Linked DNA regions of Oryctolagus cuniculus. The main gene of each other region encodes a partner of the protein of the gene in region 2 in a complex. Links are inferred from orthologs where the notes say so. Each region holds a gene or a part of one and is shown on either strand. Other genes may lie near its edges. The genes, in order: MED24, MED26, CCNC, MED4, MED19, MED7 and MED25.

Evidence for each region.
Region 1: MED26 (region 2) and MED24 share a complex: the UniProt entries of both Homo sapiens proteins name them as parts of the mediator complex. The link is inferred for Oryctolagus cuniculus from reciprocal best matches to the Homo sapiens genes MED26 and MED24.
Region 3: MED26 (region 2) and CCNC share a complex: the UniProt entries of both Homo sapiens proteins name them as parts of the mediator complex. The link is inferred for Oryctolagus cuniculus from reciprocal best matches to the Homo sapiens genes MED26 and CCNC.
Region 4: MED26 (region 2) and MED4 share a complex: the UniProt entries of both Homo sapiens proteins name them as parts of the mediator complex. The link is inferred for Oryctolagus cuniculus from reciprocal best matches to the Homo sapiens genes MED26 and MED4.
Region 5: MED26 (region 2) and MED19 share a complex: the UniProt entries of both Homo sapiens proteins name them as parts of the mediator complex. The link is inferred for Oryctolagus cuniculus from reciprocal best matches to the Homo sapiens genes MED26 and MED19.
Region 6: MED26 (region 2) and MED7 share a complex: the UniProt entries of both Homo sapiens proteins name them as parts of the mediator complex. The link is inferred for Oryctolagus cuniculus from reciprocal best matches to the Homo sapiens genes MED26 and MED7.
Region 7: MED26 (region 2) and MED25 share a complex: the UniProt entries of both Homo sapiens proteins name them as parts of the mediator complex. The link is inferred for Oryctolagus cuniculus from reciprocal best matches to the Homo sapiens genes MED26 and MED25.

Annotation. Positions count from the first base shown.
Region 1 is NC_091448.1:22,391,791-22,395,290, reverse strand, and holds part of MED24 (mediator of RNA polymerase II transcription subunit 24), read right to left. Parts: intron 2,688-3,500; coding exon 2,576-2,687; intron 2,452-2,575; coding exon 2,301-2,451; intron 2,049-2,300; coding exon 1,935-2,048; intron 1,431-1,934; coding exon 1,383-1,430; intron 992-1,382; coding exon 909-991; intron 653-908; coding exon 566-652; intron 1-565. UniProt on the Homo sapiens protein: Component of the Mediator complex, a coactivator involved in the regulated transcription of nearly all RNA polymerase II-dependent genes.
Region 2 is NC_091447.1:64,938,934-64,943,159, forward strand, and holds the start of MED26 (mediator of RNA polymerase II transcription subunit 26), read right to left. Parts: upstream 2,801-4,226; 5' UTR 111-2,800; coding exon 1-110. UniProt on the Homo sapiens protein: Component of the Mediator complex, a coactivator involved in the regulated transcription of nearly all RNA polymerase II-dependent genes.
Region 3 is NC_091436.1:72,156,668-72,160,862, reverse strand, and holds the start of CCNC (cyclin-C), read right to left. Parts: upstream 2,801-4,195; 5' UTR 2,513-2,800; coding exon 2,481-2,512; intron 1-2,480. UniProt on the Homo sapiens protein: Component of the Mediator complex, a coactivator involved in regulated gene transcription of nearly all RNA polymerase II-dependent genes.
Region 4 is NC_091440.1:67,125,663-67,129,908, forward strand, and holds the start of MED4 (mediator of RNA polymerase II transcription subunit 4), read right to left. Parts: upstream 2,801-4,246; 5' UTR 2,720-2,800; coding exon 2,595-2,719; intron 1-2,594. UniProt on the Homo sapiens protein: Component of the Mediator complex, a coactivator involved in the regulated transcription of nearly all RNA polymerase II-dependent genes.
Region 5 is NC_091432.1:14,441,134-14,445,345, reverse strand, and holds the start of MED19 (mediator of RNA polymerase II transcription subunit 19), read right to left. Parts: upstream 2,801-4,212; 5' UTR 2,718-2,800; coding exon 2,501-2,717; intron 1-2,500. Other genes in the region: TMX2 (thioredoxin-related transmembrane protein 2), read left to right, coding at 3,172-3,360. UniProt on the Homo sapiens protein: Component of the Mediator complex, a coactivator involved in the regulated transcription of nearly all RNA polymerase II-dependent genes.
Region 6 is NC_091437.1:44,110,628-44,114,637, forward strand, and holds the start of MED7 (mediator of RNA polymerase II transcription subunit 7), read right to left. Parts: upstream 2,703-4,010; coding exon 2,001-2,702; 3' UTR 1,996-2,000; intron 1-1,995. UniProt on the Homo sapiens protein: Component of the Mediator complex, a coactivator involved in the regulated transcription of nearly all RNA polymerase II-dependent genes.
Region 7 is NC_091449.1:7,732,035-7,735,534, reverse strand, and holds part of MED25 (mediator of RNA polymerase II transcription subunit 25), read left to right. Parts: intron 1-2,946; coding exon 2,947-3,045; intron 3,046-3,199; coding exon 3,200-3,320; intron 3,321-3,500. UniProt on the Homo sapiens protein: Component of the Mediator complex, a coactivator involved in the regulated transcription of nearly all RNA polymerase II-dependent genes.

The DNA.
Region 1 (3,500 bases), on a different chromosome or scaffold from region 2:
CTATCACACTGGAAGGTATGGGTTAAAAAGTAGCAACTAGGGCTGGCTGGCGCTGTGGTGTAGAGGGTAAAGCTGCCACCTGCAGTGCCAGCATCCCATATAGCACTGGTTCGAGTCCTAGCTGCTCCACTTCCAATCCAGCTCTCTGCTATGGCCTGGGAAAGCAGTAGAAGATGGCCCAAGTCCTTGGGCCCCTGTACCCGCATGGGAAATCCAGAAGGAATTCCTGGCTCCTGGCTCTGAATCGGCCCAGCTCTAGCCATTGCAGCCATCTGGGGAATGAACCAGCGGGTGGAAGACTTCTTTCTGTCTCTGCCTCTGTGACTCTGCCTTTCAAATAAATAAATAAATGTTAAAAAAAAAAAGTAGCAACTGAGAGAACCAAACTGTATGTTAAAGAACTGAGTTTGGTCTGTCCCTTCCTGTCCCCTGTCCCCTCGTGGCATGGTCCCAGTCATTTGCAACCCAAACTTTAGACAGGAGTGGGAGAGGCAGCAGCAGCCCAGTCAACAGGAGACAGAAAAGCCCGGGGCTCTTGGGGTAGCCCACATGAGCTCACACTTACCGCTTAGCTGTAAGGCTGTTGACACTGGCTTCAGACAGAAGCCCCTGCTTGCTACATTCTGTGAGCAGGAAGTTTGTACAATCACAGCTGTGAGGGAAAATGATGATGAGACAACGGCGCGCACAGCTGGGAGTTTACAGGGAAGGGTTTTGAGGATGAGGACAATTTGGAGGGAAGGGAACAGAGATCTCGGTTCGCAGCAACTACAGGGCTGCTGCCTCCTGCCCCTGCCAAGGGGAGCCAACAAGGAGACAGTGTCCCCAGAGGCTTATCTGGCATAGCCAGCAAGCTAAGAGCCCGGAACACCTTCCAGGAGCGCAGGGCTTGAGCAGGGCGCTCATACTTGCAGCGCTGGTCAGCTTTGTCCAACAGCGGGGTGAGCTTCAGCAGGAACTCAAAAGCAGAGTGGACATCCTCAGTGAAGTCCTACAAAGGGTCAGAAACTTCCACCGGGGTTCTGGGTCCCCTGCTCCTCCCACAGCCCACAAGGCAGTCATGCAAGGCCATCCTGTTGGATGCAGGGGCCTGCTGTAGGTCCTGCCTGCCACCGACTCCAAGGACTGGATTGGAGAAGGAAGGGGCATCGGTGTTTCCCTCAGGCGACCTTGCCTGCTGGAGGAGACAGCCTGCCTGCTGCCGGGAGCCGGGCCACATATGGCAGGACACACACAGGGCTCCAATGCTCTCACACACTTGCTGTCTTCTGAACACAAGCACAGACTGCCCGACTAGGGTCTGAACGACCTCCCCTGCCCTTGTTTCTCCAGCGTAGAATGCCCTCACCTGCTCCACACCCCACCCCATTTCTCCAACTCACCTTGTCCCCATGACAGTATTTCTTCAGCTTCACCAGCACCTGCGGAATCTAGGGCACAAGGTAAGGGAGAAACAGGAAGATCAGTCTCACCTACTATGAAACGTCCCCCTCCGGCCCCTGCTCCGGGCAGCGGGACAGGAGTGCTCCTGACTGGAAGTGAAGACTTCCTTCGAGGCCAGTCAGAAAGCTGGGGGGCGCCCAAGGGCCTGATGCCCCTCAACCCACTGGACACAGGAACCACCCACTTCTGCCAGCTCCACAAGGAAATGCCATGCACAGAAGTGGGGGAGCCCAGCTTCCAGACGACCGGGGCCTACCTCCCTGGCTCTGGGAACTGCCCAGCACCAGGCTGGCTGAGCATCAAGCTAAACAACACCCCTTGTTGAGAAGCCAGAGTCCTGCCAAGTGGACTAAATACAGCCCTGGGGCTTTCAGAGATCATCAGTGGGAACCGGTGCTGGGGCCCCTGCAGGCCGGCACGAAGCCAACACGGGCGAGAGGGCCAGGGCCCAGGTGTCTGCTTGCCCCGAGACTCATCCAGGCTCCAGGTACCTTGAGGAAGGTGAAAGCTGTCCACTTGAGTTCCTCTGTGCCCTCAGGGGACTCGATGAGCCCCACAAAGCAGGCTTTCCAGATCTCCAGCACAAAAAGAGGGGTGGGGATATGCTGTGGAAAGTCAAGAGTGAGGCCTAAGAGGGTGCCCCGCACCCCTTCATCCTTCTCAGGCTCCAGGGGCTAGGCCAGGTCAGAGACTGCAGGGCAGGGCTGCTCCCCAGCTCTGGTGCTGAGAACCAGGGAGGTCAGAAGACAGAACCATGCATGATTGGCAGCCCCTTTCCACCAGACACAGGAGACTCCTCCCCCTGCTCTGACCTGCCCGCCCACCTCGGGTAAGGGCGGCCACCCGGCCCCTCCCACCTGCATGCGTTTCACCATCATGAGCTGCTCCACCAGGGGCTGCGTCTCGCCTGTCAGGTTCATGGTGCCCTCGAGCAGGACCACCGCGTGGACTGTGGGGAAGCCAGTCTTGTGCAGCTGCTCCGAATGCACAGACAGCATTGTGGGGATGCTGAGGGGACAGCGTTTGGGGAACAAAGGTGAGAACGAAGGGGATAGGAGTGGGCACTGTAACCTCACCCAAGCCCCAGGACACATCCTCCCTCTTCCCCACCATCATCCTGGGAGCCGGCTACCTCCTAATGAGTGTGCCACACTGTTCAGCCTGGCTCTGGAGCTGGGGGTTGCTGAGATTGGCCAGGATCTCCCCAAGCTTCAAGAGAGAGTGCTCAATGGCAGTCCAGGAGGCTGAAGAGGAACAGGAAATGCACAAACTTGATAGGCAACAGAGGGCCTGGTTCCACGTCTTTGGCACCCTGGGCCCACAAAACCACGCAGGGAGGCTTCCCCTGAGGATGACATGGAGGCTAGGGGCTGAAGGGCAGCATGCACTGTGTGTGCAAGGGGACAGCTACTGAGGGCTGAAGGCCCTAGAAACCACGCCAAAAAGCCTGACTCCCATGGGACGCCCCAGCTGACTGCAGAGACCATATGGGCAGTAGCAGAGGGCAGCACGCAGCGTGTAGAGTCCCTGGCTGGATCAGGGAGGCCAGCCACAAATCACCTCACGAGACAGCCCAGCTGAAAGGCCAGCCAGCCTGGCATGGCCCTCTCCCTCCACTCAAGTCGCCTGGTTCCCAGACTGCCATCCCTGTCCGCCACCTCTCCTCTGGGCCCTGCCCTCGGCTCCCCATTTTGGGAAGATGCCCCCTCACACACAACTCCCACCATCCTTCAAGTCCCTGCTCAAGCCTCAGTTCCTTTAACAAGTTACCCAACTGCTCTAACCCACTAATCTCTCTAAAGGCCAGCACTCATGCTCTCTACCACACTACTTAGCACTTGATTATAAATCGCTTATCCTAGTTACAACTCCAGAGGGTCAAATGGTGAATAACAGCAGCAACCAGCCCATTAACCATGTAGCACGAGGGGAAGAAAAAGACAAGACCCGAGACGCATCAGAATCAGGGACTCATCCACTCTGCGGCCAGCAGGCACTCATCCATTCTCGTCAGGCCAGAAGTGGTCAAGCACAGCCCCGCTTTACATAGTGATTAT
Region 2 (4,226 bases):
CCTCTGCAGATCTCTCTACCCGCTGGGGAGGAGGCCAGGCTCCTGGGGTTCCACCTACAAAGCCAGGTCAGGTAGAGAGGGGTGCGTGCCCCTGAACACCAGCGGAACATTCCAGAGCAGTCAGGCCCCCACCCCCAGCAATGCAGTGCCGGCCCCCCACGAAGGCGGGCAGGACATGGAAGGTCCCTGATCCAACAGCCCTGCAGAGCCCAACACGGCCACTCTGTCCCAGGGGACACCGAGCACCCAGCCGTGCGGGGCCCTGAGGAGCAAGAGGCGAGCTGGCCACGGGAAACCTGCCTCGCCTACCACACCATACCCCTCCAGTGGCCTCCCACCGTCAGTGAAGGGAGCCTGTGGCTGACAGGGGCTCTGGCGGCCAGGACGGACCACCAGGGCAAGGCCGAGAGGGGACAGACACGGGGGGCGCGGGCTGGCTCCCACACACTCTGTCTCCCACCAGCCTTCGCTGCTGCCGCGCCCCAGGTCTCGGTCGCTCCCGGAGCCGTGGAGAAATGTGCCTGATCCGAATGCCAGCACAGGCGCTGCCCCCGAGGCAGCCTAAGGCGGCTCTGCCGACACCGCCCACGGCACACAGGGCGCTGGGGGCCCGCAGCTTCTTCCTGGGGATTCATTCCCAGGCCAAACACCTCCCCACCCTCTGCCAAGTGGCTTTCGGAGAAGGGAGGAGTTGGCAGGGACTGCGGCCTCTTAGGTTTGTCAGGGCTCCCCGAGCAGATGCACATCACTGCTTTCCTCGAAGCAGAGAAGCCGGTGCCGGCCCAGTTCCACCAAGGGGCCGTCCCGATCACCACCACCACCATGTTGGCCTGGAGTGGGAGGGGGCCCTGAGGTGCCCACCCCGAGGGCTCTCGGGCAGCAGTCCCAGGGGTGCTGTGGACTGTCACACGGGATCCTGGCCTGGAGAGCACTCGGGGCCGACAGGAAAGGACACACCGGCCAGCCCGTGTCTCTGGGGTCTCACAGACACGAGTGGGGACGCCTGGTCTTGGGCTGGAGGGTCAAGGCGGGCGGAACTAGCAGGGAGAGGTGACCTGCTATCTAGGTGAGGGTGGCCAGCCGGACGTGCGGCATGCATGCCGGGCGCTCGAGGCTCTCCCGTGCCCGCGCCACCGAGACCCAAGCGCAGGCGCGGACGCCCCAGGAGACCTGAGGCTTCCTGCACAGGTGTGGCCAGCACGTCTCACAGCCGACACGCGAAGGAAGCGGGGCCGGACCCACACAGGGGAGCGCCCACAGGGAGCCCGGGGCCCAGGAGCGCTGCCCCTCTCCCGGGGATGGGACGGCAGCAGAGCGGACTGGCTCCACGTGCTGTCCACCCAACAGGACGCGGAGCAGACTCCTCTCTGCTTTGATGTCTGAAATTTGCCGAAGATAACAAATGTATATACACGACAAATCACACCTGATCTGTTAACACCGGACGGAAGGTCTCGGCTCCAGACGACTGGCAGGCACTCAGGTGAGGGAGCACAGACCCGATGGCAGCCCCTCCGCGGCGTGTGGCTCCACCATCTGCCACCAGTGCGGGGAGGGGGCCGTGCTGGCCTAACCTCTGCTCCAAAGGACACGGCCCCTCCATCTGCTGAGCCCCCCGGAGCTCCTCGCCGGGCCTCCCGCAGGCTGCGGGTCTGCCGCCCGCCAGTCCCAGCACAGAAACGGCCTGCGTGCCTGAGCCAGAAGGCAGGGCTGAGCGCTCGGCCCGCGGCCTGACTCAAGCTTCTCCCTTAGCGGGAGCCCAGGATGGCTACGGCCACAGAGAGGGCAGGTGCACGGGCAGCCGAGACCAGCCAGCAGGCAGGAGGGGTGTTCCAGGTCTGTCACACGAGGGTGAGGACATGGGCAAAAGCCCTTGCCCGTCTCCATAGGTGGAGAGGACACCGCCGCACCCGTGCGGGAGCAGCCGGGAGCCAGGCACATGGTGCAGAGTCCACAGCTGGGTCACAGGCCGTGGCCGCTCTGCCTTGTGGCCACCCTCACGCCCCCAGGAGCCCAGACCGCCGTCCGAGTCGCACTGCCGCGGGGCTGTGAGGGCACCTGCAGCCCAGGCGGCCTCGGCAAAGCCGCACCTGGGGAAGCGGGGCTGCGCCTGCAGCGCCCGAGCAACGCTGCCCGCGGGGGATTTCCAGCCCTGAGCAGAAACGAGGAACTGAGACACGCGGCCGTGCAGTCGGAGAGGTCCCTCCGCTCCCAGCCCCGTCTCCACCTCGGGGAGGGCCCTCTCCGGCCTGCAGCTGGCGGTGTGCCACGCTCCCTCAGGCCTGAGCCCTGAGCCTGCCCCGGCCCGGCGGGCTGCACAGGAGCCCACATCTCTCAGTGCTCACCCCCACGCCCCCATTTCCAGGTAAAGAAACAGATGGCCCAAGGAGAAAGACCACCCAGCTAGAAGGCTGCACAGGCCCCGCCCGCCAGCCTGAAGGGACAGTGGCATCAGACTCTGACCCTCCCCAGCAGGAAATGCACAGTTTCCAGAACGTTCCTCGAAACCACAGGGCCACCTCCAGATGGCCCTGGTGCTGCTTCTGTGCTCTCCCCAGGCCGCACGGGGTCTCCAGCCCACACTCAACGCTGAGCCAAGGGCCCATCCACAGCCCTGGAGCCTGCTCCGCGCCGTGCTGGCCCGATGACTCCCCGTCTGGCCACCCTTCCAACGCCCCAGGCAGTGGGCAGTACCCCCCTCCCGGGGCTGCGGCCCCAAAGCACCTGCGCAAACGGGTTCCCCCGAATCTAACAGTGTGGACACTGCTGCTGGTTTATTATTAGTTTTAAAGGCAGAACTGGTCTAGACAGAATTTACAAAACCACTTACTCGCAAAGCTCTGGAAGTGCTCATCAGGGAGCAAGCCGTCGCTCCCATTCCACGCCCAAGCACAGCCTGCGTGGTGCTGGGCAGGAGGCCGCCTGCACAGGGCTGGGCATGCGCCGTGTGTGCGCGGACACGGGAAGGAAGCGGGCCCCGCTGGTGCACGCGTGTGTGCTCTGGTCCAGCCGTGCTCTTCAGCCCAAGTCTTCCTGCTTCTGACAAACCCCACGAGTCCCCAGGCAGCTCCCTCTGCTGCAAGTCACTGCAAGGAGGGGCGGCCCCTGCGGCCCCCACACAGCCCAGCGCTGCCCGCTCCCGCCTCCTCCACAGCCCCCCCCCCCCCCCCCGCCGCCCCGGGAGCCTCAAACCCACAGGGGCAGAGTCCCTCATTACGGCTTCCCAGAGGAAGAACAGCCCGGCTGGGGGGGGGGGGGGGGATATCCCAGTCACAGCCACCAAGTGACCACCTGCAAAAGCACTTCCTCACTGGCGGGCCGGCCTGCTGCCCCCGGAGTATCAGCCCTCTGGGCGGCCTGTCGGCGTCCCTGGGGTGACGACCCTGTGCACTGAGCTCCTGCCACGGGCAGCAACGGGCCGAGCACAAAATCGCACTTGGAACCTTGGTCGGGGACAGAAGCACCAGCCTGGGTGCGGGCAGCGGGCGGAGGCCTGGCTGCTCCCCACGAGTCGCCCAGAAATGGGAAGCTGCTGCGGCAGCGGTGGAGGTTCCCAGGCGTGCAAACGCACGGTGGCCCTGGGAGGAGAGCTACGGCAGGCCTCAGGTGGGAGCTCCGCTCAGCAGAGGGCGGCGGCTCTGCGCTCCGCAGCCACCGCCCGCCCCGACCCTCCTCGCTTCCCGCCCACTTCACGTCTGCACAGCTCCTCCCGGCCCAAGGCCCACTGGCTCACACAGCCCCTGGACTCAGAATCCTGATCTCGGCCCTCTGGGGGCAGAGCAGGTCTCAGAATGTCACCTGCAAGCTGCTTCCTTTCCGACGTGGACACAACTGGAGCGCGAGCAAGCGAGCGAGGCAGCCACACCGAGGCCTTCACCTCTGCCCTCTGTGAGGACACTGGGCCGGCGGCAACTCCCCCTCTCCCAGAAACCGCTAATAAGAATGCCAGCTACAGGAGATTGCACAGGACCTGGGGCCCGCGAGAGGGGACCCGCACACAGCGCTGAGCCGGCTCTACCGCGGAAGAGTTGCACCGAGCGGGAACAGGGACCAACCTCCGGGAGACACCAGGCACAACTGCTGAGGCTCGCCACGGCACCCTGGGCTGCCCCTTGAGAGAACGCACGCGAGGACCACGCAGTGCAGCCCTGCAAAGCTGCAGCACAGCACGGGGCCCCCACCCCGCCCCGGCCCCCAGCCCAGACACAGGGAAACCATGACGGCAT
Region 3 (4,195 bases), on a different chromosome or scaffold from region 2:
AGTAGAAAAAAAATGGCATGCTGAGTTCAGAAATGATGTGAGAAAGTTCATCTTTTTTTTTTTTTTTTTTTTGATAGGCAGAGTTAGACAGTGAGAGAGAGAGAAAAGTCTTCCTTTTCCATTGGTTCACCCCACAAATGGCCGCCGGCGCGCTGCGCCAATTCAAAGCCAGGAGCCAGGTGCTTCCTCCTGGTCTCCCATGTGGGTGCAGGGCCCAAGGACTTGGGCCATCCTCCACTGCCTTCCCGGGCCACAGCAGAGAGCTGGACTCCAAAAGGAGCATCCGGCACAGAATCCGGCACCCCAAGCGGAGGATTCGCCAAGTGAGCTGTGGCGTCGGCCGAAAAAGTTCATCTTAAGAGGCTTGAAACAGAACTTCTGCCCCCTTGTTCATTAAATTCACCTAAAACGACGGCCTTTTATAATCTTGTTTATCTGGAATTATCTTGTTTTTCTTGCTCATTACCCTTCAAAAATCTGACATTCCATGATTCTCAAGGTATAAGAATAAGACAACCAAGACTCTTTTAAATGGGAGGCAAAGACAATTTTTAAAAAGCATGTTTAATTTTGTATTCAGAAAGTGAAAGATTGGCCGGCGCCATGGCTCACTTGGCTAATCTCTGCCTGCGGTGCCGGCACCCCGGGTTCTAATTCCGGTTGGGGCGCTGGGTACCAGTCCTGGTGGCTTCTCTTCCAGTCCAGCTCTCTGCTGTGGCCCGCAAGTGCAGTGGAGGATGGCCCAAGTCCTTGGGTTCCTGCACCCGCATGGGAGACCAGGAGGAAGTACCCGGCTCCTGGCTTCGGATCGGTGCAGCACTGGCCGTAGCAGCCATTAGGGGAGTGAACCAAAGGAAGGAACTGTCTATAACTCTCTCTCTGTCTCTCTCTCACTGTCTAACTCTGCCTGGCAAAAAAAAAAAAAAAAAGTGAAAGATTGAGGCTGGCACTGTGGCATAGTGGGTAAAGCTGCCGCCTGCAGTGCCAGCATCCCATAGGGGCACAAGTTCAAGTCCTGGCTGCTCCCCTTCCGATCCAGCTCTCTACTATGGCCTGGGAAAGCAGTGGAGGATGGCCCAAGTTCTTGAGCCCCTGGCACCCATGTGGGAGACCCAGAAGAAGCTCCTGGCTTCTGGCTTCGGATTGGCACAGCTCCGGCTGTTGCAGCCAACTGGGGAGTGAACCAGATGGAAGACTTATCTCTGTCTCTGCCTCTCCTTCTCTCTCTGTGTGACTCTTTCAAATAAATAAATAAACCTTTAATAAAAAAAAAGTGAAAGGATAACTTTTTTATAATGCCAACAGTAAATAAAAGCACTTTTTAAAAAAGGATTTTTCACCTTAAAAAAGAGGAAGGGGAGCACTATCTTTTTAAGTTGAAGAAGTGACAATCAACAGCTAGCTACCTGTAAATTCTCTCAGCTTCTTTCAAACAGAATCTCTTCTCCACTATTTACCGTTTGTAAACTTTAACTTTGCCCAAGAAAATATTTCAGTGACAACAATGTAAAACAAAAATATGAAAGGGAGGAAAGCCTCTACAGCACTTCATAGATCGACTGTACAACAAGAAAAGGCTTTTCTGAAAGTTAACAAGCCCATTGTTTTTCTTATGCAAATGGTTAAAAAATGAATAAAAACCGATTCTATTCACAGAAACAAAACGTAAGATACATTTACTAATGCTCTTAGAATGAAAAATTTACACTAAGATACCTTTATCAAGCTCAGTTCATTTTTGCACTACAAAGGAAAGCCTAGTCAATGTTCAAGTAGGTCTAACACGCACCTTCCCGTCTGCTTAAACAAACGTATTTAGGGACAAAGTTTTTGTATCACTCTAACACGCTCGTGGTCGCTGACAGAACACAAATTTACTCATTACAATCAATGAGAAATGCAGTTTTAAGATAAAATGTAAGACACAGATAAGGAAATGGATAAATTTTTAGAACATGAAACTCCACCTAGGCATAGTTACTGGAACCGATCACGAGCTAGAAATAAGCCTGCTTCCCGCCTATCCTCTGATTAATATCAAACCCACTCGACACAGAAGGTAAATGGCAAAGTACCACGAGGCCGATATCCTGAAGAAACCCCGGAGAAAAGGAAGCCACGACTCTGCGAACAGGCTGCCTCACGGTCCCGACCTCACACTTCCCCTACCTGTGCACACCTCGTGCTACCCGACTAGCTAATCCCAGATCCAAATCAAAGTCCTGAACCTTCCTTCTCCCACTCAACCTCCTTCCCCCAGCTTTCCCGCTCACAGATCCTTCTCCCGCAAATCCCGGCCGGCAGCCTGGGAGGAGAGTCGCCTCAGACAAGCGCACTTCACTCCCGCTGCTGCCGCCTCCCACTGGGACCTCACCGGCGCCGCGGACCGGCGCCGGGATCCACACGGAGGGGAGTTGCAGGCCCCGTTCTCACCAACCCCTAAGAACCAGCACCGGCCGAGAACGCGGAAGATCACTTACTAGTGGGAGCTCTGCCAAAAGTTCCCTGCCATGGAACACAGCTTGCCCTGATAAAAAAGCACCAGCCGGCGGAGCGGCCCGCGGAGCGACCATAGACCCAGCCCGTCCGGTAACCGCGCTCCTAGATCGGATCAGCTCAGCTTGGCTCAGCGGCGGCTACGGCGAGAGGAAGAGGATGGATCCCTATTCTTTTTGACGCCGGCTGGCAACACTCAACCAGTAAACCCGTTCCTACAGACAAAAGTTCCGGCCCGTCCTGCAGTAGTTGAGGAAGCGAGGCGTCAGACGGGAACAAGTCCTCGGGAGGGCTTGCGTCGGTCGGAAAGCTCTCGCGAGAGTTTCGTGCCGGTTCCGGCTCGGAACCCGCGCAACCTTTGTGTTCTGTTCTCGCTGGATTTGCTGAATGGAGAGATCTTGGAGCAAGCGCCCAGTTTATAATTTTGTGGTCCATCTTTCAGGTATCCAAAAAGACATAATGACTTTATAACAAAGTACACGATTTGTTGACTTCCCTTTTTCCTGCGCTTGGAAAGAGAAGTGAATCATGATTTTGACTCCATCTATCAAGCGTTCTTAGTTTCTAGCAGACAAACGGTTTATTTATGTAAAATGCAGTTCCAGAGACAAAGAGATGCCTTGCCACCCTGCTTCACTCAAGTGGCTGCAAGGGCCGCGGCTTGCACCATGTCTAGGCAGGTGCCAGAATCTTCTTTCAGTTCTCCCACGTGGATGCAGGGGCCCAGGGACCTGGGCCACCTGCTGCTTTCCCAGGCACAGTATTGGAGGTGGAGTAGCTGGGACGCAAACTGGTGTGCCCTACCCCACAATGTGTTATTTGTTTTGTTTTGTTTACAGGCAGAGTTAGTGAGAGAGACAGAGAGAAAGATCTTCCTTTTCCGTTGGTTCACCTCCCAAATGGCCACTACAGCCGGCGCACTGCACCAATCCGAAGCCAGGAACCAGGTGTGCTTCCTCCTGGTCTCCCATGCAGGTGCAGGGCCCAAGGACCTGGGCCATCCTCCACTGCACTCCGGGGCCACAGCAGAGAGCTGGACAGGAAGAGAAGCAACCAGGACAGAATCCAGCCCCCCGACCTGGACTAGAACCCAGGGTGCCAGCGCTGCAGGCGGAGGATTAGCCAAGTGAGCCGCCGGCGCCAGCACCCACAATGCATTCTTTTTTTTTTTTTTTTTTTTTTTTGGACAGGCAGAGTGGACAGTGAGAGAGAGAGAGAGAGAAAGGTCTTCCTTTGCCCTTGGTTCACCCTCCAATGGCCGCCGCAGCCGGCGCGCTGATCCGATGGCAGGAGCCAGGTACTTATCCTGATCTCCCTTGGGGTGCAGGGCCCAAGCACTTGGGCCATCCTCCACTGCACTCCCGGGCCACAGCAGAGAGCTGGCCTGGAAGAGGGGCAACAGGGACAGAATCTGCTGCCCGGACCGGGACTAGAACCCGGTGTGCCAGCGCTGCAAGGCAGAGGATTAGCCTAGTGAGCCGCGGCGCCGGCCAGCAGTAGTGTTTTAATTCCAAAGAATCACCAGTTTGGGAAACATCTAAAAATATGTAAGCACATATATATTTACATGTATGCACATATATGTTCCAAAAAGAAATGTACTGAAAAATGTCACTTTACAAGATGAAATATCATGCTTCTGTATTTTCCATTTCTATTATCATGGTAACTTTGAATTTATTATAAAATTTCTAATAAT
Region 4 (4,246 bases), on a different chromosome or scaffold from region 2:
ATGGCCAGGGAGTGCAGTGGAGGATGGCCCAGGTGCTTGGGCCCTGCACCCCATGGGAGACCAGGAAAAGCACCTGGCTCCTGGCTCCTGCCAGGATCAGCGCGGTGCGCCGGCTGCAGCGGCGGCCATTGGAGGGTGAACCAACGGCAAAGGAAGACCTTTCTCTCTCTGTCTCTCTCTCACTGTCCACTCTGCCTGTCAAAAAAAAAATAAAAAAAAAAATAAAAAAAAAAAAATAAAAAAAAAACAGCAGTGGCTAGGCAGCTTTTATGTTGGTAACTTGGAGCTGAGCAACTACAAACAGTGAGAACTCAACAGGAACTAAATGAGCATTCAGTTAGCTGTCTCACAGATGATGTCACACAGAACAGACACGTGAATAATTTAACTGAAACATCATACTAAATACCTTGCTAGTGTGTTTTTTTTGTTAACTAAGAAATAATGTGGATGTTGATGTTAAGAGGATTGGCTAATGAGGGAACTGACAAGTTTTCCACCATAAACTACTAAACCAGCGAAGATGGACATGCTCCGTCTGTAAACACTTGGAGGCAAAGCCTGGACAGCTGCCTGGTGCCTGTGAGTTTGTTTCCTGTACTGAGCAATGGCTGACCGAAAATTCCAGGTGCCCTGTTTGTGATCCTACTACAATGTAAACAGTGGATGAAGCTTATAAGCCATTTACCTTCTGTTGTCTGCGTGTTTTTAGGTTTTCATTACATCACTAAATGTTGTACTTAACATTGGTAAGTAATGGTACAGCAAGGGCTAAATTCACAGCAAAGACAAAGTACTGATCTTGAGTGTAAGCAGATCGGCATTTGCTGTCACAGAATGCTGGCTACGGAAATGGTGACATTTGAGACAGATGCTGAAAGACAACTCAATCATTCAGCCAGCTAGAGATAGAGTAGGAATGGCACTGACGAAGTACAGCTGGCGGTGACATGGGAAGTAGTCAGGCATCCCTCAAATGCACGGTGAGGTGACTGTACTTACACAAACCCAGACAGGAGCGGCCACCTGCTGTGGCCTGACGCAATCAACAGTTCCCAGCAAAAACAAGGTATAGGAGGCTGCTCCCAGCAGAATGTGGCACTTTGCTTAACAGTTAAATTTTAAGTAATAGGAGGAATAAACTCTAAATAACAATGAAAAGTATTGCACAGTAAATACATAAATCAGTAACAGTCATTTATTATCAAGAATTATGGACGGGGGCTGGCATCATGGCATAGCCAGTGAAGCCACCACTGGCATCCCATATGAGCTCCGGGTTCAAGTCCCAGATACCCCTCCTATCTAGTTTCCTGCTAATGTGCCGAGAGAGCAGCGAAAGACAGCCCAAGTACTGTGTTCCTGCCACCCAGGCAGGAGACCCCGGCAGAGTTCCAGGCTCCATGCTTTGGCCTGGCCTAGCCCTGGTCTTTGCAGCCATCTGGGGAGTGAACCAGTGGATGGAAAAGCTCGCTCCCGTTCTCTCCCTCTCTCTGTAACTCTGCCTTTCAAATAAGTAACCTTAAAGAAAAGGAATGAGGGGCTGTGTGTAACTGTATGTGCTACACTTTCACGCCCCCGGCAGCAGGTGGGCCCATTCACACCAGCGTCACCACAAACACGAGCACAGAGGGCAACAAGGCCACGAGGCTGCAGGCATTTTTCAGCTCCATTATAATCCTAAGGGACCACCACAGCATAATCATATATCTGGTCTTTCCTTGACAGAAACCCGACACTGGGCCTGACTCTGCTTATACGGGCTATCGAGTATTTTTTAAGAAGAATGATGCGAGATGCTTTTTAAAATAACGATGGTGCTCAGCAGTATAAAATGACAAAGTATATCAAGTACAAAAGAAAGTAGAAACTTTTGGCAGGCTGCAAAAACAACACAACTTAGATCCAGGTTAACCACAGAAGACAGGAAGGCCCCGACTTGAAAGACGACCGTGAAAACTGAGAGCCTGCAGAACAAGATCCCATCCCGTCTCCCATGCTGCTCTGCGGCCATCCCCAGCACCTTACAACTCCGCCAGGGCCTGGGGCCTCCGACTTCCAAGGTTTGCACACACTATGTCACCTCCCTGCCACCTGCTGAGTCCGATGAATTCATTCTTTCCAACCAAAGCCTGCCCTGACTACACTCCCGGGCCCGCAACGCACTGCTCGGACAAGAACGAGCCCCGCACCAGCACTGTTTACCCACCTGTCTCTCCCTGACCCCGGGCTCCTCCGCGTCGGCACCCAGCCTCCCCTTCACGACAGTCTCCTAGTGCTTGGCGCCCAAGGGGCAGCCCATTAGTGCCAGTCTCCCAACGCGAGACCTCTTAAGGTTCGCTCTGGCTCTTGCCGTCTTGGACTTCCAGGGTGGCTGTCATGACTAAAATTCTCTCTGACGGCAAAGAAAAAAGTGTTGCCCAGAGTCCCAGAGATCTGCAGACCCCATATCCTTAACACTCAAGCACCGGGGACTCCCAAGCTCAGGCCTCCCCGCCGAGACCCAGGAATGAGCGCAGAGGGCCGGCGGCGGCGGGCTCCGGGGCCAGTCCCCCAGCCCAGCCCCAGCCAGGCTCTCAGGCCGGCGCCATTACCTCGACAAGACCTCCAGATCTTCAAGCGCAGATAACAACCGCTCTCTCGTGCTGTTACCGCCTGCCGCTCCAGAGCTGCCTCCCAGCCGTTCCTTCTCCTTCTCACCACTCGAAGACGCCGCCATGCTCCCCAGGGCCAGGAACCAGCGCAGGCGCACCTCCGCGCTAGTGGGAGAAGAGGCGGGCTCGGGAAGCGGAAGGAAGGGTCACCGAGACGTAGGGAAGAGCGGTACCGCCAGAGCGCCGCCTAGGCGACTGGAGGCGCACTATGGGCGTTAGCGCCATCTGCTGGACCAGCCGGGCTTCTCCATTACATACCCAGGGAGCGCCCAAGGAGTGAGACTGGAGGGGGCGATTCAGTCCGATTCTTCTGGGCCTTCTGGTTTTTCAAGCAGCAATGGAAGGCTTCTCCCAAACGGTTTTTGAGCATTTCAGGGAGTTACCTACTTGCCTACCTGTTATGTCCGTTTCTTCATAAACTCGACTGGTGTCTCCCCAGGATTGTCTCTGCAGTCTGCATTCCCATGATGCTGTTCTAACCTTCCTGTTGCATGGCTCTTGGAAGCTGCAGTAAGCTTTTCAGCACAGGAACCAAAACCATTTGTGATCCTATTTTTTTTCATTGTAGCAAAATACACAAAACGTAAAAGTCACGGTTTTAGCTATTTCAGTGTGTAGTTCAGTGACGTTAAATATGTTCACACTATTGTGCATCTAGAAAACTCTTTTTAATGATGGGGGAACTAGGCATGAAGATTAGGTAGAAAGAGTTGAGCTGGAATAGTTTCTCAGAATTTCTGCATAACCCTGCATGGCAACTCCTCCCCCTTACCTGTCAACCCAGTGTGCCCCCTTTCCCATGATGCACCTGCCTCATCAGGGATCAGGAAGGAAGGGAACCATAATGACCACGTGGAAGGTAAGTTGCTAGCCAAGGCACCATGAAACTGCCTCACACTGAACTCCATGCTGTTTGCATACTTATCAGAGCACCACCCAGTACCTCACAAAAGGGACTGATAAATGTGGAAACACTCCTTTTTTGCTTTTTTGGCTTCAGGAGCATACTTACGGTCCTTCTCTGGTCTCCTTGCCCTCTCTCTCCTCCTAGGCAACTCTGGCCCACTCATGACAAGCATCTCTCCATGCAGGGATGCCCACACTCACACGAGAATGTATATTCACTCTTTCAATAAATCGTCTTCTCCCTCGTGCTCTGTATGTATTGCTCTGTTTTGAATTCTTACCTCTGCAGGGACAAAAACTTGGAATAAAAGTTGAGATTGGCATGCCTGCAACATTCACACCTCATAAAACAAATCTAGCTTCATTCCTCCCCACGCCCCAGGGAGTCCCTAGAAAGCAGCATCCTTCTGGTTTCTGTGAGTTCGGCTTCTTTGTGTGAGTGGAATCATACATTATTTGTCTGTTTTGTCACTGGCTTATTTCACTTAGCAAAATGTCCTCAAATTTCATCCATGCTGTAGCAAGTGTCAGAGTTCCCTTTTTGAAGTTGCTTGATATTCCATTACTTGTCTATACCACCTTCTGCTTATCTGTTCATCCAATAATGGAAGTTTGGGTTGCTTCCATGGTGTTTTTTTTTAACTCTTTATTTTTATTTATTTATTTTTTTGACAGGCAGCGTGGAT
Region 5 (4,212 bases), on a different chromosome or scaffold from region 2:
TGGCACTGCTGCTTGCTACTGCTTTCTGATGTTCCCTCCTCTCTGCCAGTTATCTTCCTCCCAGGTGGTTTTGCTGAAGGTCAGGGAGAAGGTACTGTGCTTTTTCTAAACTCTAACTTCCTGTTTTTGACTATTGCTTTGTAGTTAATTTATAAATCTTTCTCCCCAGCTCTGACTCCTCTCCTGAATGAACCTTCTTTGCAGTAAATTTCATGCAGATTCAATTTTTTTTAATTCAAATTCTTGCCCATGTCACTTATGGCTTCTTCATTTCAATCATGGCACCGCCATTCTTGAGATGTTTTAGAAAGCAGGACTTCTGAGTTCAAAAACCTTCAGGTTTCCTGTTACTCTCGGGAGAAAGCACCCGTTCCTCAGGCATCCAGGGTTATTCACATCTGACTGCATCCAACTTAGCTCTGGGCTTCATCAGCCACTACTTCCCCAAAGGTAAAATTTCTTTCTTTTTGGTAAAATTTCTGATCCATTCAAATGAGTCTCCACACTTATGAGAAAAAAAAATAGGCATTCCCTCTTATATTGTTTCCTTTTAGGAAAAATCTGTTGTTTTTTTTTTTTTTTCCCCAACCAATGTGAATTCTTCACAGTCCAGCTCAAGTGACATCTAATTTCTTGCTGTCATCATGGATACACCACATTTTGAAAACCATCAAGGAGTTAATGCTGTTCACTAAGATACTGTTAGCTGTGCAGTATTTAAGGCATGACTGCAAAGTAATGAGACTGGTATCGATGAGAAACAGTCACTTGTTTATCCACAAACCACATACTGTGCTTCCCTAACTAACTAAAATAGTCTTCTTATAAACCAAGGACCAAGGGTGGGCATTTGCAGCAGTCGTCACGACACTGCTTGGGATGCCCGTATCCCATACTAGAGTGGCTGGGTTCCGTGCCGGCTCCTTTGCTTCTGCTCCAACCTCCAGCTAGGATGCAGGCTGCCAGGCAGCAGATGACGGCAAGGACTCGATTCCTGCCAGCCACAAAGGAGACCTGGATCAAGTTCCCAACTCCTGGCTTTGGCCTGGCCCAGCCCTGGCTGTTGGGGGCATTTGGGGAGTGAACCAGCAGATGGAATGTCTCTCTGCGTCTCTCCCTGGCTTTCAAATAAAGTAAAAATTAGGAAGTAAGGCCCAGACCTGACATCTCTTTCCCCCTTTCAACACATCATTGTTCCTGCACATAGAGCATTTACCAAGAACAGATACCAAGTATCTGCCAACGGGCTGACAGAAACAAGCACAATCAGAGTAAGTGAAAAAAGCTTAAAGAAACTGCTGGTGGTTGTCTCTCTGCATTTCAAATAAAAGGAAAACTATAGTTTAAGAAAAAGCACTAGGGTCCGGCACTGTGGCATAGCAGGTAAAGCCGCAACCGGCAGTGCCGGCATCCCAAATGGGCACCAGTTTGAGTCTCAGCTGCTCCTCTTCTGATCCAGTTCTCTGCTGTGGCCTGGGAAAGCAGCAGAAGATGGCCCACGGCCTCGGGCTCTTGTACCCATGTGGGAGACCCGGAAGAAGCTCCTGGCTCCTGGCTTCGGATCAGCCCAGCCCCAGCTGTTGTGGCCATCTGGGGAGTGACCCAGAGGATGGAAGACCTCTCTCTCTCTCTCTGCCTCTCCTCTCTGTTAACTCTGATCATCTAGCAACAGTTATGTCCATTTTCTAAAAGTGAACATCTTTTAATTCAGTTTTTCCACATTTTAAAAATTATTTTATTTGAAAGGCACAGGATGAAATCTTGCATCTGCTGGCCCACTCCGCAGATGCCTGCAACAGCCGCGACTGAGTCTGGAGCTCCACACAGGTCTCCCCTGACAGCGGTAGGAATCCAGGGACGTGCCATCGTCCGCTGCCATCCAGGGTGTACACAGGGTTAGGACTCAATCCAATATGGGATGCGGGCGTTCCAAGCCGTGGCTTAACCTACCGCACCACAACGCCTGCCTCCACCTCAACTCTTGATCACGTTTTCATCCAGCATTAATCACTATCTGATGCTATCTTGCTTACGCTGTCTCCAATGGCAAAAAGGACAAAGATCTTGCCAGTCTGGTTCACAGCTGTAGCTCCAGCATGCAGAACAAACCACATAAATTTGATATGAAATAATTTCGTGTCCTTCTAATCCCGTCTTTGAATAGATGAAGAAACTTACCCCCAAACCAACAGCCAGCCTGAGGCGGACTGAAACTAAAAAACCTCGGTTCCCTAGGCATATCATTTGAGTTCCGATCTCCATGACCCTGGAGAAGCCAGTGTCAGGGGCACAGCCCAGACCCAGAGACACACACCCACCTCCTCCCAATCCATCCCACGAACCCAATCATCCCTGTGGCTGCGAATCTTCGCAGCTCTTGCAAGTTCCAGCTCCACGGCCCGGGTCCGTGCAGCCTCTGCACCTCCAGCAGCCGGCCAACAGCCACGCCCTCACCTCTTCAGCATTGGACTGGTTAGCTTCGGCCAGGCCTAGTACTCACCAGGCAGTTCCCGCATTAGATAGAAGGGGCCACAACCAGCCACTGACTTGTCTGTGCCGGGAGGAGCGGTGGCCGCCGTGGGAGGCGGCGCTGTGCCGGGTCCCCCGCCCGGCGGCGGCGGGGGCGGGGGTGGAGGCTTTCCTGGTCCGAAGCCTAGTGCGGCTGGGGGAGGTGGTGGGTCAGCTTGAGCCCCGAACAGCGCCGTGAAATTCTCCATCGTCCCCTCCGCACCGGCGCTGCCTCAGTGTCTGGCGTTGATGACTATCATTGGACAATCCTTTCACGGGGTACCGCCCTCTTCCTGTAAAGAAAGCTTATCATTGGATATCTGTGGCTCCACCTACCTTTTTCTGGCAACAACTTCCGTCGCTTTCTGAAAACGTTCAGGAAGTGCTATCTAACCTGATTGAATTCTTCTGGGTCACTTCCGCGGGCCATAAACACATATCCAATAAAATGACCTTGGTAGAAAAAGCGACAACTAGATTGGCCAGTAAACCGGTCAACTCCACTTTTCAACTCGGAATTACGGCGGCATCCAATGAGAAATCTACTTCCGGGTCTAGAGGCGGTTCTTCTGGTAGTTGGGCCAATAGAACGCTCAATGGGGTGGGAGGCGGGCCCAGATTTACGGACGCCGGTGAGCGGCGGGCGCCGCAGGACCTGGAAACATGGCGGTCTTAGCGCCTTTGATTGCTCTGGTGTATTCGGTGCCGCGACTTTCACGATGGCTGGCCAGGCCTTACTACCTTCTGTCTGCCCTGCTCTCTGCTGCCTTCCTGCTCGTGAGGAAATTGCCACCGCTCTGCCATGGACTCCCCACCCAACGCGAAGACGGCAACCCGTGTGACTTTGACTGGGTGAGCGCTCTAGGGCTCAGAACCCCGCGACCTTGACTGTCCCTGCCCCTGCGGGTGCATGTGGAGTCCCGAGTTTCACCTTCCTAAGGACACTTGAGGTTCCCAGCCTCTAGCGGGCTTGCAGACTGCTGAAGGGTGTAGGGCGCAGACTGTCATCGCATCTAAACGAAGTGTTTACGATGGGAAAACGGAGGCGGTGCCTGGTAGCCCCTGCACGACAGCCCCAGTCCGGGCTTCCTGACGCCTCGCTGTTCCTGCCAGTAGACAGCCGTGCCCAAACTCGGCACCTGTGTGGCGTTCTGCAGTACTGCTCATTGTGCAAAGCCTCCCGAGGAGCCTGGGGCGGGGGGCGACGAGGCGGGTAGTGGTCGTAGTCCGGTTTCCTGCTTGAAGAAACCGGCCTGCGCGTGGGCAGCCGACGCGCCCGGGGTCACACGACTGGAGTGCCTGGGCCTTTACAGCGACTTTTCCGGCCATTGGGACTTGCTCGTTCTGTCAGCCATCTCTTCATTGAGCACACTGTGTGCTAAGTACTGTGCTGCACCCGGATGTGGGATGCAAAATTGAATAAAACCTGAAAAGGAATTGGAGAAAAATAAAATAAAATACGTGCCAGGCCGCCTGCGGTGCTTCCTCAGTAGTTTTGAGACCGCTTATTAAAAAAAAAAAAAAAAAAAAGAGTTTAGCCCTCTCCTGGGTAGCAGCATCTGTGGTTTTTTTTGTTTTGTTTTGCCTTTTTTTTTTTTTTTTTAAGAGTCATTTATTTGAAAGTCAGAATTACACAGAGGGAGGTCTTTCATCTGCTGTTCACTCCCCAATTGGCCGCAGCGGCCAGAGCTACACTGGTGCGAA
Region 6 (4,010 bases), on a different chromosome or scaffold from region 2:
CAGAACTCCTTGATTAGCTCTGGGCTAAAGTGAAGCTAACCTATGGCATTGCAATCCATCAATACCTCTCCCCTCAATGCGCACACACACACACACACACACACACAAATTTACAAGTAACTGTTGTGACTCTTAACAATGTTAAATGATTTCATTTCTTACATGCAAGGATTTTCAAAGTGGTCCCAAATTGGTTTTGTACCTCAGCCCAACACTCCTCTCACAGCAATGTATTTTTTAAAAAGTCAAAAGAGAAACGGTTGTTGAGTTGTTCAAGAGCCATTTCCATCTTGCTCACTGACCAAGGTATGAGGGAGGAGGTGTGGAACAAATTTAATTTAATTAAGGGAAACCAGAATGTCCTTTGGGGGTCTCTGGTCCCAAGGTCTACACCAAGCATATTCCAGTTGGTAAAAAAAAAAAAAAAAAAAAAAAAACCTTAAATTTGAGACTTGTTAATTAGTTCTTGTCTGCTAGAAGTGTTAATTGGAAACAGCCTCTGTCTGAATGCAAAGAATGCATATTTCACACAGGGAAATTGGCCTGTAACCATTTTACAGTGAGTTGGTGAGACCTTAATGCAGCAAATCCCTATGCTAGTAAACAGGAAATGAGGGAGAAATCAAAAGCACATCACCCAGGAAAAGGCCCATCTCTACAGATGGTAATCTTGAGCATGCATCAGAATTGGAGGAAGGCTTAACACCAAGCTTGCCACGCCCTGTGCACCAGCAAGTTTCTGGTTCAGAAGGTCCAGGGTGGAGCCAGAGGAGCTTGATTTCTAACAAATCCCCAAGTGATGCTAATGCTGCTGGTCCAAAAGGACAATGGAGAACCACTGGCTTCTGTCAGAGAGTAGCAGGCAAAGATCCTGATATGAGGCCAATGGGCGGGAGGGGGAAGGAGGGAGGAGAAAAGAAAGTACAGAAATAAAATCTCAGTACCCAAGACAGTTTATTTCTTGTTCACATTAAGTTAGCTGTAGAAGGAAGAATGGAGTTAAAAGAGGACCTAATCTTCACATTCTAGAACCAAATTACTATAAACTGTTGTCACCAGGCTTGCATGGGTGTGGGCACACACCTAGCCGACTGGGGAACAGAATGGAAGATCGTGCAAGAAATCTTAGGGCACAGACTCCATTTCCCAGAACTTAGTCACATGGCCTCACACAGATATAGGGCAGTAGGGAAATGTGGTCACTGGCTGAACAGTGATATCTCAGCAAGAAGAAGCGCGAATCACTGGTGGACATCGAGCAGTTGCTCCCACCAAACCCTTCTCCCACTGCAGTCTACCAGCCTTGATCATGTCTGAGCTTAGCTTTAAAAATGTGTAATTTCAAAGAATTACAAATATTTTTAAAAATCTGTAATTTCAATCCTCTTAATTACTAAAATCTGTAATCTAAAATTTCTAACTAAGCTGACCAAAGACTTTCTACCCAAGTGACTGAGAAAAACCAATTTATGGGACCTACCAAGGTTCAAGATAAGGAAAAAGAGTCTACTGAGGTAGTAGAGTTACAAGAATCACAAGGAAAAATAAAGTTTTTGTTTCATAACAAATGGGTCTCTTTTAAAATGCTATACTACCTTATGCAGATTAGGTAAATTTTTAAATATTACATAATTTCACATTTTAGAGTATCTATCCCTCATTCTTAAAGCAAATGACAAATTTACTTTTTAAGGATGAAAGTTTGCTATTACCAAGGACACTGTCAAACTTTTACTCCAACTCCAAAAAAAAGAATGCCCCACACATCTGCAGCAAACATTTTCTTTTTCAGGTCACTATTCTTAATTTACGGGTCCCTGTTTGCCTACACTTGTTATATACTGAAATTGCTGCCTATGGCATTACGTAAGTGAAAAAGCTGGAGAGTCAAGAAAAAGGCCATTTAAACTTTTAGTTATTCATTTTAAGACTGCCCAAAAGAAAATAAACCAGTAATATTATACTATTTACCAAAAGGGAAAAAAGAAAACTAACATGAGTCACGGTCTTTCATTCATTTCATCAATTAGGACACACAAGGCAGCATCTTTTTCTATAATCTGGTCCCTTCGATGACCTGAATTTTCTCTTTGCTGCTCACTCTGTCCAGTACAATTGTTGCTATCATCAGCATCCATTGGTTCAGTTTTTACTTTTATTCCTGCTTCTGAGTGGGGTAAATCATCAGGCAAAGAGGCCAAGCAATTCTGAATCATCTCAATCACTCGCTCCAGATGCTTCTGAAACCTCTCGGCTGTTTCAAGCCTCTGTCGTTTCTGGACTTCCATCATAACTCTCAAGGTCTCTCTTGCTTGGTGGGGTCTGTATTCATTTATGAGATGATGCACATGGACAAAAAGCAGCTTAAGATCTTCCAGCTTCTCTTCTCGTTTTATACTCCCAGGGCTCCTTATCAAGATATCTAAAAGGTCCAAGAAATTAATAAGGATAGACATATTGAGTTTCCTCAGTTCTTTCTTGTGATCAAATTGCATAGGATGAAGCCTTTCGATGCCCTGACTTTCCAAAGGGCGGATAATAAGATCATCACATTGGAACTGGTTGCCAAACATCATATAACTGTCTTTGATTGGAGGGGGTGGCTTGGGAGCTAGACCTTCCTGAATATTTTCATCAGTGTATTCCTTGATGTACTGCATAGGAGGTGGAGGAAGTGCACTCACTTGCTGTGGCTCACCCATTGTGGAAGATCAAGCACCTACAAAAACAAACCAAAGATTCACAGAAGAACTACAAAACAAACCTGTCACATTTAGTGTTTACAGACAGAGCACTCCCCTTTTCTTCCGGTAGTTTCAAAGCTAACACTTACAACTCAGAATGGATGCCACCCTTTTCTAATTAAGCACTATATTCTCAACAACCCACATTATTTTTCCTTCCCTGTTAATACTTCTCTCCCAATATCTTGGAGTACCTTTTCATTTATAAAGAAAAGTCTTCTGGATTCTACACCACTTACCTTTTATGTCCCATTTCTCCACATCTCTTTATAGCAAAACTACACATGCTGTCGCCCAAACACATATCACAATCACTTTTTTTTTTAGAAGGTAGATGATTTTAAGATTTACTTTATTGATTTGAAAGGCAGAGTTACAGAGAGAGAAGGAGAAACAGAGATATCTTCCATCTGCCTTTTCATTCCCCAAATAGCTGCTAAGGACTGGGGCTGGGCCGGGGCCATGTAGAATCCAGGAACTTCATCCGGATCTCCTTTGTGAGTGATATGGGTCCAGGCACTTGGGCCATCTTCCACTGCCTTCTCAGGCATATGAGAGGAAGCCAGATAAAATTGGAACAACCAGGACTTAAACCAGTGCCCATATGGGATACTGGTGTTGCAGGGAGCCATTTAACCTGCTGCGCCACAATGCCAGCCCCTACAATCACTTTTACTATTACGAAGTGATTTCCCAAAGTAAATACTTATAACTCAAACATTTTGACAAAATTAACATTACTAAAATCTAGATACCCAGTATCATCCAAGGCTCCTAGATGAAATGATTATCCAAGTCTGTATCTTTTTTCTACATTTTATGCTACAATTTACTAACCTTTCTGTATCTACTATAGAAACTTGAAACCCAAATTCAAACCCACAGCTTCTATGGCCACAATCACTTCTACTTACTCCTTTTTAAACATAGGTATTATCATCCAATCTGAAGATTCTCAAGTGCTCTTTTAAACCGATCTGAACAGTTTTAAGACACACCCCTCCGACGTCAGGAGGCGGCAAGTACCCGTGTGCCTCTGCGGATGCGCACCCCTCGACTTCAGCTGGCATCTTTCCAGGGTCAACTCCCTAAGAGGCATCACTGTCTCACATCCTCTCCACATCATCTTCCTGCCAAAGCTATGACCTAAGTACACGATCAATTCTATTCTTCGGATGAGGATCCCAAGTCTTAAGGGCACGTGTCTGCAGATCGCATAACTACTAACGGCACAACAGCAATTCCTACCCCACGTCCTTTCAGCTC
Region 7 (3,500 bases), on a different chromosome or scaffold from region 2:
TTCATCTGCCTCTTCCTCCCCAAATGACCACAAGCCAGGCGGCAGGAGCTCCGTCCGGGTCTCCCACGTGGGTGCAGGGCCCAAGCACTCAGGTCGTCGCCTGCTGCTGCCCCAGGCGCGCCAGCAGGGAGCTGGATGGGCAGCGGAGCAGCCGGGCCCCGTATGCGATGCCGGTGTCGCAGGTGCCGGTGCCAGCTCCGTGGGGAAGCTGTGTCCTGTGACCGGCAGTGTTTGTTTCTGTTCCCCAGTAGAAGCGTTGCTCATCTCTGACAGAATGTTTGTTTTTCTCTCTGAGTTCTGTTTGTGTTCATTCAGAAGAAAGAGCAAGTTTTAGGATTTCAAAGTTTAGCCTTTCACTGTGGCCCTCGGACTTTTTTTTTTAATGGTTTTAGCATTTATTCAGTGAGAGAAGAAATACACAGGAGAGTGAGGGCTTTATAAGAGGGAGAGGGAGCTGAGGGGTTCACCAGGCTTTTCCAGGGAGTGGACGGAGGCTGGGAGAGCACTCGTGGGCCGCGGGTGAGCAGGTCTCGGGCCAGCGGGCTCTTTGTTCCAAACAAGGAGCGGTGTTGACCTCGGGCGTTTTGGCAGTTCACGGTGCCCTGGCAGCCGCCGTCTCGTCTCGTCTCGGTCCAGGTGACCGTGGACTGCCCCTTGGAGCATGTCCAGAGAGGCCAGTGATGGTGGACCAGGCCCAGGGGGTGCAGGTGCCCGGCGGGGGCTTGGGTCTGCTCCCGCCCTAATGGATGTGGCCATCCGTTTGTTGAAGACACGTTTTCCAAGGCCCCCAGGTGCACAGGCTGGTGGTGAGAGGGCTTGGACCCGCCCGTGTGTGGGCTCGTCCTGCAAGGTCCACACTGCCGGGATGGTGGGTTGACGGCGTTCTGCAAGAAGCGCCAGAGACCGGTTTTGGTGAACAAGTCTGCTTATTGACGATCAAGCATGAGATAGAAAAGGGCAGGCGGGGGGCGTGGCTAATTCAGGGCAACACCAGCGCTAGAGGGTAAGGCCGCCGTTGGCGCGCTCTGCTTCTCAACCAGCTTGAAGGTCCTGCAGCCTTCCTGATGGGCCTGGGCCGCGCCCGGGGGCTGTTTACCTGATGGGCAGTTCCGGGCTCTTCCGCAGGAGGCTGGGGTGGGGGAACGGGCCTGGGGCTGCTGCTGCCTGCCCGCAGTGAGGCTAACTTGCGTGGGCCAGGCACAGGGTCACCCACAGCCCTGCAGCAGGCCCTGCCCCCTCCCCACAGGAGCGGCCGAGTGCGAGCGTGCCTGTGCCTGTGCCTGGGTGTTTTCCCTGGGCCGCACCCGCGGAGTGCTGAGTGCCTGAGCAGACACAGATCGGCTGCAGGTTGGAAGGCCGCAAGTCTGGGTTCCAGGCGCCGGCCAGGCCTCTCTCTGGGGGCCAATGGGCGAGGCTTGGTTTCCTTTCCCGGCTTCTGGTCGTCCCAGATGCCCCTGGCTTGTGTCGCCCCCGTCATCACACAGCTCCCTCGGCTGGCGCCGTCTTCCCCTGTTACCGGAGAAATTGCAGGGTTCTTGTCTTCGCGCAAGAAAGAATTCAGGCGTGAGACAGAGAGCAGTGGGAGGTAAAATAGTAAAATAGCAAGGTTTATTAGGGAAGGGACATCCGTGAGGATGGATGGGCACCTCTCCAGACAGGACCTGGGAAAGAGTGCAGTCGCTCGGACTGGGGGGGGGGGGGGGGGGATGTTACATGGTTGAGTGGAGAGAGTACACCTGACCAGACCAGGCGGGCGGCTCAGCAGAGAGGCAGAGGGCTGAGCGCGCAGTCCGGTTGAGGCTGGGGGCGGGGGGGGGGGAGGGTTAAGGAGATGGGTCTCTGTCTTCACACATCTCCTCCTGAATCAAAGGATTTTATGGCTGTAAATATTAAGAAGCTCCTATCTGAGTTTTCCCCTGAAGGTATCAGACAGGAGGAAGCCCAGCTGGCGCCATCCTGGGTTCAGAGGAAGGGTGAGCAGGACCCCCTGGAGAATGGGGATCCGGAGCAGGGTGTTTGAGATGCAGGTACTGGGCTGCACCTGGGAGACTGTGGAGGATTTGTCAGGCGGAAGTCGGGGGGAATCTCCACCTGGCAGGTCATCAGGTAGAAGGGGGCAGGGCAGGATGTGAAGATGCGAATACCGGGCTGCCCCTGTAACACCATCAGGATGACTTTGAGATGCAGATGCATATGCTGAACGTAGAAGTTTTCTCGGGAGGCCTTTGGCACACACACGTAAGCTCATAACTGACTTCCTGCCTAACACCCCAGGGTCTGCCCTGCTGTCCCCTGGTGACCTGTTTAACTCGATCACCTGGGGAGAACGCGTGTTTCCAGGTGGGCGAGGGGCACCGTGGGTGATGCCCTGCCTGGGACGCAGCGTCCGCTGCCCAGCGCCCGGAGGCAGCAGGTGGAGCTCGGGTGCCTGGACCCCTGCCACCCACGTTTGCCCTGCGTGCAGCTCCCAGCTGCTGGCTCTGGCTTTGCCCAGCCCTGGCTGTTGCAGGCATTTGGGGAGGGGAGTGAACGCACGGTTAGGAGGAGTATCACCGCCTGTGTGTGTGTTGTGGGGGTGCTTTTCAAGTAAAATTTAAAAAAGTTTTTAAAGATCCCATTTACAGTCGGGTCACATTTTGAGGTACTAGGGGCAGGATCTCAGCTTGTTTTATTTGGGGAGAGGGAGACACTCAAACCCACCAGGTGCTGGGAGACAAAGGGGTCCCTCTACCTGCTGGGAAGGTGAGGTGAGCCCAGGGCTGGCTTTAAAGATGGACTAGATGGCCAGGGGTGTGGAGTGTGGACAGGGTCATCCCAGGATCAGGACAGCACAGGTGCCCCGTCCACGCCCTTGGCCTGGTGCTGTGCCCACTGCGGGGACAGTGCAGGGAACACAGGCCGGCGGGGGGGCGAGGGGCACGTTGGCTGACCCCTGACCTCCGGCAGGTTCATGGGCGGGGGCGGTGAGAGCTGCAGCCTCATCGCCGAAGGCCTCAGCACAGCCCTGCAGCTGTTCGACGACTTCAAGAAGATGCGGGAGCAGATGTGAGTGCCCCTCGCGCGGCCTGGGCCGGGCTCGTGCCAGCTGGCCCGGGACCACGTGGTCTGTGGTGGGGGCGTGGGGCAGGCAGCTGGGGTCGGGGTCTGCGGCCTCCTCAAGGCCCCGTGGTGGCTGCTCCATGCCTTTCTTGACCTGCAGCGGCCAGACGCACCGCGTGTGCCTGCTGATCTGCAACTCCCCCCCGTACCTGCTGCCCGCCGTGGAGAGCACCACGTACTCGGGCTGCACGACCGACAGCCTGGTGCAGAAGATTGGGGAGGTGAGGACCCAGAGTGCCCTGGGCAGCTCCCCGAGTCTGCCGTCCCTGCCTCGGCCAGTGAGAACTGTGGTTAAGGCCTGTCAGGTGTGGGCACCCGGGGCTGGCCCCGCGTCCCCCCTGCTCTGCTCTGCTCTGCCCTACATCAGGGCACCCACTTCCTGTCGTATCCCCCCCACAGCA